Rattus norvegicus: one gene and its partners. The protein of the gene in region 2 purifies or fractionates together with the protein of the main gene of each other region. This does not show direct contact. Links are inferred from orthologs where the notes say so. Each region holds a gene or a part of one and is shown on either strand. Other genes may lie near its edges. The genes, in order: Tmem231, Tctn2 and Tctn3.

Evidence for each region.
Region 1: the proteins of Tctn2 (region 2) and Tmem231 purify together in Homo sapiens (affinity purification with mass spectrometry; 3 studies listed by BioGRID and IntAct, counting the BioPlex papers as one, with this or other methods). This does not show direct contact. The link is inferred for Rattus norvegicus from reciprocal best matches to the Homo sapiens genes TCTN2 and TMEM231.
Region 3: the proteins of Tctn2 (region 2) and Tctn3 purify together in Homo sapiens (affinity purification with mass spectrometry; 3 studies listed by BioGRID and IntAct, with this or other methods). This does not show direct contact. The link is inferred for Rattus norvegicus from reciprocal best matches to the Homo sapiens genes TCTN2 and TCTN3.

What each region holds. Positions count from the first base shown.
Region 1 is NC_086037.1:56,810,688-56,814,832, reverse strand, and holds the start of Tmem231 (transmembrane protein 231), read left to right. Parts: upstream 1-1,317; 5' UTR 1,318-1,328; coding exon 1,329-1,467; intron 1,468-1,569; coding exon 1,570-1,739; intron 1,740-4,145. UniProt on the Homo sapiens protein: Transmembrane component of the tectonic-like complex, a complex localized at the transition zone of primary cilia and acting as a barrier that prevents diffusion of transmembrane proteins between the cilia and plasma membranes.
Region 2 is NC_086030.1:37,643,906-37,647,537, forward strand, and holds part of Tctn2 (tectonic-2 precursor), read right to left. Parts: intron 2,952-3,632; exon of another isoform or gene 2,716-2,951; coding exon 2,559-2,715; exon of another isoform or gene 1,844-2,558; intron 1,754-1,843; exon of another isoform or gene 1,400-1,753; coding exon 1,274-1,399; intron 1,130-1,273; coding exon 1,041-1,129; intron 159-1,040; coding exon 31-158; 3' UTR 1-30.
Region 3 is NC_086019.1:249,371,885-249,376,202, forward strand, and holds the start of Tctn3 (tectonic-3 precursor), read right to left. Parts: upstream 2,815-4,318; 5' UTR 2,759-2,814; coding exon 2,527-2,758; intron 2,378-2,526; coding exon 2,254-2,377; intron 2,024-2,253; coding exon 1,905-2,023; intron 86-1,904; coding exon 1-85. Other genes in the region: Entpd1 (ectonucleoside triphosphate diphosphohydrolase 1), read left to right, coding at 3,036-3,159.

The DNA of each region.
Region 1 (4,145 bases), on a different chromosome or scaffold from region 2:
CAACTCCTTTATTTTAACTTTATGTGTATGGGTGTTTTGCCTGCGTGTATGTCTATATACCATGTGTACCATATGTATGCAGTGCCCACAGAAGTTGTTGGATCCCTTGTGACTGGAGTTACAATTGGCTATGAGTCACCATGTGGGTGCTGAAAGTCAAACCTAGATCCTCTGGAAAACGGGCCATTCTCTCCAGCTTACTTACATGTTATAACATTTATTTAGTATTTATGTAATATTCAGATAAGCACCATGACAGGCCTGTACAGGTCAGAGGACGGCCTTTCCAGAATTAAGAGATATAATTGGTGGGCGCCGGAGAGAAGACCCAGGGGTTAAGAGCTCTGACTGTTCTTGCTGAGGACCTGGAGAAAGAATCAACGGCCAGCACAGTCTCCATGGTAAGACCCTACTTCAAAACAGATAAAATCTGTCTTTCACGTTAAGATATTCCTGTTAGTAGTTACCTAAGTGATTCGCTAATGCTAACTTTGAGGAAGACAATATCAGCGTTTATACCTAAGTACACCAGAAGGAGCCGTGTAGTAAATTACCCTCAAACCTTTGAAGAACCAAGGGATTTGTTTCTCGTTTTCTATCTTTTCTGCTACGGGGCAAAGTGAAAGCACTAACTTTGAAGGCAAAAGTACCTGGTTCTAGGACTGTGGCCCTTTTATAAGAGTGGGGGGGGGCGTTGGGGGGGTTGGGGATTTAGCTCAGCGGTAGAGCGCTTGCCTAGCAAGCGCAAGGCCCTGGGTTCGGTCCCCAGCTCCAAAAAAAAAAGAAAGAAAAAAAAAAAGAGTGGCCGGACTTCAGTATGAACCATACTGGAGTTTTTCCATTGAGATACAGTCCCGCATATCTCCGGCTGGTCTCTAACTCAGTGTCGCTAAAGATGACTTTGGACTTCCGGTCCTCCTACCTCCATCTCAAGAGTTGCTAGTATTACAGATGCGGGTCACCATGCCGGGTTTAATGAAGTGCTGGGTATGAACTCAGGGCTTCCTGCATGGTAAGCTAGCTAGCCTTTTACCAACTAAGCTATATCAACCATCCTATGTTGTGAGTTAATAGATGACCTATGGGGAGATGTCAACATCTATGCACATCTGATTTTGTACAACTGACACAGACTTTGGTGAGTGGAAATGTTGTTTCTGTTGCTTTCTTGAAGGGACCCACGGGAACCGAATCAAAATGCATGTACTAACTAACACAGAAACCTCCTCCCGCTAGCTCCACCCCTTACTAAAGGCCTGCGTGCCTGCTATTGGTTCCTCTGCCCGCCGTCGGTTGCCGTGGAGACTCCGCGCTGCGGCCCTGGGCTCATGGCGCTGTACCATCTCTTCTCTCACCCGATCGAGCGCGCCTACCGCGCGGGGCTCTGCTCCAAGGCCGCTCTCTTCCTGCTGCTGGCCACCGCGCTCACCTACATCCCCCCGTTGCTGGTGGCCTTCCGGAGCCACGGTAAGCCTGCCTGGGTCTGGAGGGCCACTCGGTTCGGCGCGGCCCGCGGGCCCAGGCCGGCTATCCTGACCCGGCTCCCCCAACACGCCTTGTCTCCCGCAGGGTTTTGGCTGAAGCGCAGCAACTACGAGGAGCAGCCGAACGTGCGCTTCCAGCACCAAGTGCTGCTGGTGGCTCTACTGGGGCCCGAGCCGGGAGCCTTCCTCGCCTGGAGCACGTACCCCACTTTCAACCGGCTGCAGGGGGTTCACCTGCGCGTTCCGCTCGTGTCGGTGCGTGGTTCCCGCCCGGACCCTGGGGGGAAAGCATGGGGTGAGATCCCAGTTGGGTCATTTGACGGGCTGTGGGGGCAGTCTCATGTATCCCAGGCTGGCCTTAAACTATATAGCCGAAGTCGTTCTTCAACAACTGATCCTCCGGCCTCCACCTTCCCAGGGCCAGGAATTTCTGCTATGCAACGCCGTGCTGGGGGTTGTGGGGTGCTGGGAATCAAACCCAGGGCTTTTTGCTTGCATGCGAGCACTTTACCACTGAGCCAATGCTCAGTCCCACAGCTTGGATCTCAAGGATCCACCGGGGTTGGAAACAAAGTCTCTTTGGCCCGCGCATGCTTAACTTTTTAGATAGTTTTACTCAGCTTCTTGAGGTGTCCCCAGACAATCAACCATGCAGGCGGTATGTTTGGTGGATTTGAGTCCAGAAGCCAGAGCACTGCCTGTCTCTGGTGCTGGTCACTTCTGAATGAAAAAGTGGCTGTGAAAACCCTTTTAAGGGCTTGAAGGCCGGGTTCTGTAGACGCCAGGATGTCGCTGAATTTGAACATCACCAGGCTGTAAAGACAGAAAGTGCCCGCATTTTTTATGCAGACTGGACGTAGGGTAGGGAAAGCGCTGATTGGTTGAATTCTCGACTCCGGCTCTGGCCAAGCCACGCCTGTCTGGGTTAGGCTCCTAACTGGGTTCCACACTGCAGCTGTCTCCTATGAAACTGGAACATTTTACTGTCTGCAGTTTAGTGTTTGCTTTCGCATAAATCAAATGCTTCCTTACATTTCCTTTAGTCGTATGGGACATCTGGCTTTCCTACATTCAAATGTGGATCCATTCGGACAGGTCTGATTATTAGCCTAGAAGGCAAACTCCTGTAGCTGAAGGGGCGGGTGCGTGGCAGGGGTGTCAGACTTTCTCCCCACAACAGGTAAATAAGATAGCAATATGCAAAATCTAATTCAGATTACTTGGTTCTCATATATATATATATATATATATATATATATATATATATATATATGTATAATTATTTTTTTCCTTATCACAAACCTGTTGACAGAAAAGTGAAGGCTCACTGTGGTTGGTATATGTATCAGTACTTGTTAACCAACCGAGTTTGTTAGTTTTAAGATCTGTAGCTTATTCAATGACATGAGCAGAGTGATGAATTTAAATTGCCCCTCCCCTACGTACACAGCAAGCTCAAGGCTATTCTGTGTCAAAAGCCGGAGCCCTGGCTCCTGAAGTCAGAGGCACAACATGGAAGGGGTCGGTTCCCTCCTGTCACTCTCCCAGGGATCCAGCTCAGATTCCCAGGGTTGGCTGCAAGGGTCTTTACCTGCTGAGTTATCTCATTACCCACCCTTACTCCTTGATGTGTTTTTTTAAAATTTTGCCCCAATTATTTTTATTATTAAAATTATTGTATGAATTAAAGCTTTTAACTAAATCTTACGGCTTTTTTATTCTTTTGTTTGTTTTTTTCTTTTTTTTTTTTTTGTTTGTTTTTTCTTTTTTTCGGAGCTGGGGACCGAACTCAGGGCCTTGCACATGCTAGGCAAGCGCTCTACCACTGAGCTAAATCCCCAACCCCGGCTTTTTTATTCTTTTTGAGATGGCTTATTGCCTTGCTTGTTGCCTGCCCAAGCTGGCTTTGGCTGAAGCAGTAAGTCCCGTTCAGCCCCCTAAGAAGCTGGGACAACAGACGAGTACCACATGCCCAGACTTATGTCATACACCTCTGAATGCCAGCGGAAGCTTTTTGTTGAAATTTCATGCACATAGAGAAAACAAAGCAAGCAAAGAAAACAATTATTTCCTGCAGGGAAATAAACCTCGCGAAGAAGCAAGGAAGGAGATGCAGTCAGGGTTGCGAACAGGACTTGCATAGTCATCGTCTTAGACAGAATGCTGACTAAGCAAAATGTGCATCTAGGGAAACTGAAGGGATCAGGGGAGCGGGGAGATGCCATGGGGTCTGGTGGGAAGGGGAGGAAAACGAAGGCTCCGGCCTTCCCCTGTGGAATGTCGGTAGAGAATACTCAGAAACAGAAGTAGACTCTCAGCAAATCTTATTAAAAACATCGGGAAACAGAAGTAGACTCGCAGCAAATCTTATTAAAAACATCGGGAGAGTGCTTCTTTGTTTTCGTTTTTCCGAACAGGGTTTCTCTTTGTATCCGTGGTTGTCCAGGAACTTGCTCTGTAGACCAGGTTGGCCGCGAACTCAGCAATGCCCCTGCCTCAGTCTCCCCGGTGCTGGGATTAAAGGCATGTGCCACCATCACCCAGCCTGGGGAGCAGTTCTAACACAGTCATTAGGTAACTGGGGCATAAGTGTTTGCTTTGGATGTTAATTGTTTTTTTTTGTTTTGTTTTGTTTTTTTGTTTTTTGTTTTTTTTTTGTTT
Region 2 (3,632 bases):
TGAGTGGCTGCTCTGAGTCTTCGAGGAAACTTAATGCTGGATGGAAGCGGAGGACCAGGCTTTGCACATCCCGACCCAAGGGTGCCTGAGGAGTATGGCCAACATGAGGAGTGACAGCAGCATCAGGCCTTTGGCGACACACTGAGGCCGGGGCTCCCCTGAAAGGCAGCAGAAGGCAATCATTAAAAGCATGAAGGTCCTTGTGCCCACAGATCACCAGGGAGGCCAGGAACGGAAAGGACATGCAACCTGCTTTTCCATATAGAAGGGTAAGAATGGGGGTGGGTAACAGTCTGGTGATCTGCAGTATCTGTTGGGCCAGGCCCTATCAAGACCCCACAACCAGGACCAGAGGTAGCTCACAATCTAAATGACCTTATGTTATCTGTATCACCAAGGGCTCCTGCAGGCTCTCACAACCAGGACCAGAGGTAGCGCGCAGCCTAACAACCCACATGACCTCTACACTAACTATATGACTGAGACCAGGCCAGATCCTTCCTTAGACTCGTAAGCTAACACAGGTAGTCTATCCAGAGAACCATTCTTGGAAGAAAGGACTCTGAGTTGTGTTTCGATGTTAACCACGCCCCCTGTGTACTAGGGATTGGATTACACCAGGAAACTTTCCCCCAAACTGTACTGTGTTTAAATATGTTGGCAATAAAACACCTGACATCAGACTCCTGAAGTTTGACCCAGCCTGGATGGGTTAAGTCGGGCTGAACTGAGTTTTCACTCATTCTCATTTCTTTGTGGCTTATTTCCCTGCCAACTATGACACTTGCCGGGGACAACCCCCACCCCAACAACTGAGTCTTATCATGTCTTGACTTTGAAGGTAATAGTTTAGTGTTAACCATTTATTGTTATCATAATTTCTAAGCATCATAACCGTAACTTCTAAACATCGGTATTAGTGTGGTTTCTTCTTTTAAGTCTTTCGTGCTTTAAGTTGTCTGGGACATTTCCACATTGACTGGTAAACAGTTTTAACCGGCACAACGTAACTTACAACATACAGAAACCTGGCTTCCTACCTTGATAATATTGGGTCAGAGGGTACAGAAGTTGGGGCCAGCACAGCTCATTCCGGGTACAATCGTACTCTGTGAAGTTGATCTGGAATCTACACAAACACGTGAGAGGGTTACAGGGAAAACTAGAAAGAAGCAGGAAGGAACCTGCGAGCCTGTCAGCCATTGGCTTATCTGGTTGTGGGCGGGGCGTCTGCGCAGGAAAGAACCTGTGAGCCTGTCAGCCATTGGCTTACCTGGTCGGGCGGGGCATCTGCGCAGGGATGTTAATGAACTTAACAGAGGCACTGAGGGGGAGAAGGTCGGCTTTGTCCTCCTCACAGGTGAGCCCACATTGGTACTGCCAGGTTACTGTGGAGAACCTAAGAAAGGACGATTGTGAGGTAGTGGCCACCAACCACTGAAAGTCTAGGAAGCCAAGTGCTGGATCCTCAAGTCTAGACCCAGAATCTACAAGTCCTTGTTCCGATCACTGGCTGCTGCAGCCAGCTCCCTCCTCTCGCCCAAGTCACTGTATGCGGGTTCTCTTAACAAGGATTGCTTGTCTCCAGCAGTCTAATAGGAAGAGCCTCTGGTCATTTATCGAAGGCGTGCCATGCCCGTGGCACCGCAAAACAGTACTGCGGAACGGGAAGTTGCTTAGCAAAGGAGACCTTGGCTCTACCCCGACACTGAAGTGGGTCTGATGGGAAATCAGCACAGCTTCTCAAATTCTAGTAACTGCTCCCCAACTTTGCGGGGGGTGGCGGTGGGGGTGTGGCTGTGTGTGTGTGGGCGGGACACATCACTCCCTGCTCTCTGTTCAGTGGGTCAGAAGACACCAGCCCGGATCCAGAGCCTGCATGCTAGAGCTATTGATAGTTCAGACCATAGTGAATGGCTCCAAAAGGAACCCATGACCCAGCGAACAACAACAGAAAAAGGCTCTGTAGACAAGAAGGCCTCTCTTTACTAAGCCCAGGCGAGGCGAGGCTGGTGCTGACCTCACAGGACCAAGGAGGATGCCCCTGAGTATGAAGACAGTCCCAGGACAAGGTGAGCTGGGGGTAACCAGAAAGAGACCCTCTCTGACCTTGCAGGCATGGGGACTCTCCCAAACTGAATAGCACCCACCACTTTTTGCTAAGTGGAACCTGTCACATGAGGTAAAGACGCAATGCACAAGGGTGTCATATTTCCTTAGATAAAGCTATTGCATATTAAACTGTCTGAAGTCACACACGGTTCCATGATCGGAACCTATGGTGCCGGCAAAGCCTCCAACCAGTGGCCACGTTCTGTCGCCAATATGCCACTCAGGCCCATAGAGTTAAATACCCTCAGAACGGAGCAGTCCCTTGTCAGCCGTGGCCCTCCCCTGACACCGCAAAAGCTCTCATACAGAGCTTTACAAATACTCCCGAGGGCCCTCCATTTATACAGCCCCAGCTATTAATGATCGCCATGTGTGCGGATTTCTGCCTGGCATTCCTGGTCTGTGTCCTGCTCTCCACCTCAGCGACTCTCGGGAAGGGACCACACCTTGTCTCCACAGCCAGGATCTCCCGCTGAGCCTCCCCTTCCACAGCGCCAGCCTCAGCAGTGAGGATGCGGATGGTGACGTGGGTTGGAACTTCCGGGCACATGCCATTTGCGCTGCTCAGAGGCAGGTCGGCGCCTGCATCAGGGGCGTCGACGCCTGCAGGAATGTCAAATTAGACATCTGTTAGTGGCGGCTGTCCCACGTGTCAGCCATGATACCCAAAGCCTCTCAGGCCTGAGGCTCAACTCTCTTGCAAGGGTGTTGTCACTCCATGACTATGTGACCTCACAACATCTACGGCAGGAGCAGTGCTGCTCACCTGGGTGGTGTCTAAATGTCCCTGTGCATTGAACGTGGTCCCAACCCACAGAATAAACCCAAACGTGGAGATTCAGTGTCTGGGGCTGCAGAGACGTCTCAGGATTGAAGAGCACTTGCCACTCTTATGGAGGACCCAGAGGCAGCTCCCAGCACCAACATGGTCGTTCACCTGTAACCCGTCCTCCAGGGGATCTGATGCCCATTTCTGTCTTCCAAGGGCGCCCACACACACATGGTATAAACTTTCACACACACACACACACACACACACACACACACACACACACACACACAAATACATCTTTTCCTCAAAAAGAAAAATAAAAGATTCAGTATCTAAGCTTGTCACTGAAAGCCACAGAGTGTGCCGACAGGGACAGTAGAGAACCCTGGTAAATGGTTACCAGACGATGCCAGACATTTATGCCCTAAGAGAAGTCATATAAAAAAAAGACATTTAAAACTCATCTGAGCATCTTTAGTTTCTATGGGTTAGATAAATAAGCAATTTGCTGGTTGGGTGCACTACAATAACATAACCAAACCCTGGGCTCACACATGCCAGGCAAGCGCTCTTTCTTAGAGCCACAGCCCCAGTCCCTGGCAGTCCCCTTGGTGAACAATTCTGAGCTGTGTGATCATCCCCACTCTCTCAGGACACCTCCTGATTTTTTTTTTTTTTTGACTGTTTTAGGATTTAGGAAGTTGGTGCTAGGGTTCAAACCCACAGCTCTCCACACTCTAGACACTAG
Region 3 (4,318 bases), on a different chromosome or scaffold from region 2:
AAGAACTGGCCTCCAAACTCTGCAGCCAGGGCCTGGAAGTTGGTTGCATTGACTGTTTGGAGCTCCTGGAAATAGTTTGATTTTGCTACAATTTACAAAAAAAAAAAAAAAAAAAGAACAGAAACTTAGATTTAAAAAAATTTCATTTTAAGTATCTGGCATAAGAAACAACCTTTGAAGCACAACACACACATTTTATCACATGCAGATGAACATCCGATGAGTTTAAGAAAGAACTCTAAGATGACTCGGCTGGTCAAGGCAATAGCCACCGAGACTGACAATGACCTGAACTGGGACCTACGTCCTGGAAGAAGGGAATGGATTCTGATAGGCTGTCTGTCCTTCCATCTCCACACGTGTCCTATGGCGTGTGTTCATGTCACACGCGTGCGTGTGCCTACTCCTTCCACATGGGAAATAAGTGAAGTCTTTACAGAACAAAGTCCTGCTCGGGCACAGGTATGCTGGCATCCAGACTGCATACCACCTCTCCTCCATCTTTAGGAGCTGAGGCTCCCAGCTCTGCAGCTTCCTCACAGAAACTGCACAGAAAGGCTACTGGCCTCCTATCAAATCCCGTTACGGCTAGCTTTGCAGGCAAGAGTTAAGTGAACTAGAGAGAGGAGCTGAGTTCAGGAGTCAGTAGCTGTGGATCCTTTCCGTAGCTTTTCTCAGGAAGAGCGAGTTGCCACACGACCCCTCATCTCAGTACAGGTGTATTGGCTGACGTAGTGATAAGGACAAAAGCACACAAGACATACACGGTGAGGCCATACATATACACATGTATATTATTCATATACGAATTCATATACAAATACATAAATGTTCTCATTAGTGTCACGGTCGCACATGGCCTACCATCAGCCAACAATTTAAAGGTAGTGTAGTGCAAACTCTGATAGAACTGGATGTGAAAAGAAGCCTACAGACCATCTCATCCACTCCCATTAGGAAATTTGGATCCTCTGAGGCAAGGTTGTTGCAAAGACCTCAGAGTAAGCTAGCAAAACCAGGAGCAGATCCCCAGTCCCCTACTTGCTGGTCTGCAGTTTTCCCACCCCACCGTGCTGTAGAGACCCTGTTAGAAATAGAACACTTCCCCCCAACCCTCCATGATCATTATCAAGACATTTTATCCACTGTGAATAAATACAGTTTGCCCTTTTCTAAAGTGACTTATTTATTTTTATTTTATGTGCATTGGTGTTTTGCTTCTATGTATGTCTGTATGAGGGTGTCAGATCCCCTGGAGTTGGAGTTACAGTCAGTTGTGAGCTGCCATGTGGGTGCTGGGAATTGAACCTGGGTCCTCTGGAAGAACAGCCAGTGCTCTTAAGTGCTAAGCCATTTCTCTACTCCCACAGCTTGTCCTTTTAAGGGGCTGATAGTTTGATATCTGGAGGAAGTCATAATATTCACATAAACTTACAACCATACAAAGAACTCTGCAAATTCTAAAGGACTGTCTCAGAACTTCCAACTTCCCAGGACGGGCTCACTTGGGCAGATGACATTAGATTCTTAGGAGAGGTAAGATGTTCCCAATGTAAGAAGAAAGAAATTTAGGAGAAATTTAAGGCATAGCTTAAGGACAAGGAACATGAATTTGTCCAAAAGAAAAGAGCAGTATAAAATCATTAGAGAAAAGCTTGCAAGAGAAATCAATCAATCAATCAATCAATCATCCATCGATCAATCAATCAATGCTGATTGCCAGGCTAGAGTTGCTGAGCAGTATTTTAAAGGTGGTGGAGAGTCACTGGAGGTTTCTGAAATTACTAATGAAAGGAAGAGGGTAGTCGTAACATAGGGATTTGGAGGACAGGAGAACTCCAAAGACAGAGTCACGTCGTAATAAACGTTAAATGACAAGAGCGGCCAAACTTGTTTCTACTCACAGTTGTTCACACGGACGCAAAATTGTGTGATTCCACTGGAGTCCGTGAAAACTCTGGAAGGAAATGGGGAGTTGCTCCTGAAGACCAGGGAGTTGTCCACACATACCCAACTTGAAGATCTGTGAGGAAAGTTGAAGATACTGAGGAGGGGCGTGGAGTACGGTTAGGGAAGGGGCCCTACCCTACCAATGTCTGAGGCCACTAAGGGGGTCTGTGGGCAGAGGTACAACATTCCGGGTAATGTTTTACTGGATGGCTCAGCACTCCCGGGAAAGCCCAAGGGAATATTTTACGCGGGGATCTGGGGGTAGGAAACTCACTCTTACTTCTCAGCCAGAGCACAGCTCACCTTACACTACCAGGAAGGCAGAAGGAAAAGACTGTTCTGGGATGGAGAAGATCGCAGTCCTTATCGCAGCAGCAGTTTAAATCGCAGGTACCAGGAGTCAAGTCACAGACACAGATCGATAAGGCTATAAGTGAAAGAGGCAAAGCGAGGTGAAGCTCCCCAAAGTTTTCCCTCGCGGATAGCCCCATTGCAAGCTACGTAGCGAAGCAATATTGTCTACACAATTTTAGATCCGAGAAGTCAGTATTTCCATCCCGTATCCCGCCGCATCACCTGGGAAGGGGTCGGTGGTCGCGTTCTCGGGCATCGATAGTGTCCAGGGGGTAGGACTCTCAGACAAGTCTGGAGGCGCTGTAGTTGGTACTTCGGGCGTCACTGGCCCCAGGACCCAGGAGGTAGGCAGAGCCCGGGCTGTGGAGGAGGGCTGCGGCCGGGCGGCGTCAGAAAGCATCAGGCCCACTAGCAGCAGCAGCAGCAGCAGCAGCAGCAGCTGCGGAGTGCACATAAGGCAGCCGGGCCGCAGAGGGGTGCGACAGGAGCCCGAGTCTCCAGATAGATCCTAGAGCCCAGGGGTGAGGAGTCGGAGATGACGTCATCAGCTTCCATCTGTGCATTGGCTCAAGCGGGAGCCGTGTGCTCTTCAGCCAATGGAAGACCGTGTTGTTACGACCCGGCGCGTCCTTCTTGCTGCGCTCTCCTCCTTAGCGGCGCGCCGCTCCCGTTACCTGGCAACCGCTGGGAGCCCCTGGGGCTAAGGCGTCTTTGCCCTATTCTGCCGCTAGATGGCAGCTGGCATCAGGTTGGTGCCCTTTACGGACCTGGAGGAATTGAGTGAAGTCTTTGCTGAGGGGAAGACCCAGAGGCAAGAACTGGAATTACTTGTGTCTTTTGATCGGTCTTCCCAAGGTAAGAGACCCTTTCTGTGGAAAGACCGTGATTTCAAGGAGAAAAACACATAGAAAGTCACATCTCTTACGCGTGCCGGGAAACTGAGTACCGGATCGCCCTCGTTACTCCCTAGACTCAAGCAGGATCACGAGTTTGGGCCAACCTCGGCTACTGAGTGAGAGACTGTTCCCTAAAACAAAGACAAATGAACAAAGTCCCCATGATAGAGGCTTGAGAGATGGCTCAGCTGTTAAGAATATTTGTTCTGTCCAAGAACTGGGGTTCGCCTCCCAGAACCCACAGGGTGTCTCACAACTTTCTGCAACTCCATTTCCAAGGGATCCATTGCCTGTGCCATCTCTGGCCTCAGTAGGCGGCATCAGACACTCACAGACAGGTACACAGACACATGCAGGCAAAACACTCCTATGTATAAAATCTAAAAGAAAGTTTAAAAAAATCTCTCCACTGTAATACTATGGTATTTTTAAAAAGCACAGTAAAACAATGCTTATTTCAACTCCATGACAGTTTCATGTAGCCCAGGCTGAACCTCAGACTCAAGATGTTGCCAAGAATGATTTTCTGATCTTCCTGGGTCTAGAATTTCAATCATATAGGCCATCACAACATCTTGGAGGTCAAACTCACGGCCTTGGCTTCATGCACACCTGGCAAACACTCTATCAACTTAAATGTTATTTAAAAAAAAAATGCTTGTGTCTTTCAATCGGTCTTCCCAAGGTAAGAGACCCTTTTTGTGGAAAGACCGTGATTTCAAGGAGAAAAACACATAGAAAGTCACGTCTCTTACGCGTGCCGGCATAGTGGATCATATCAATAAAGGTGATCTGTACATTTGTTGCTAGAAAGTAGTAAGGGGAGAGGTTCAGTACAAGAAAACAGGATGGGAAAGAATTTGAGGACTTAGAGGAAGTTACATTTTCTGAGGCAAAAGTCAAGACTCAGAGGTGGAAATAGCCAAGGAACCAAGAAGAAAACTTATTGCTGGTTTTTTGTTTTGTTTTGTTTTGTTTTGTTTTTGTTTGTTTGTTTGTTTGTTTGTTTTTACCATTTTACCATTAAGTTTTGTGGCACTCTCTAGAATGTGTTTGCTCTTCTCAGGAGTGTCGTGGCCCTTCTGGTCGTCCAATAGCACAAACAAACATTCCGTATT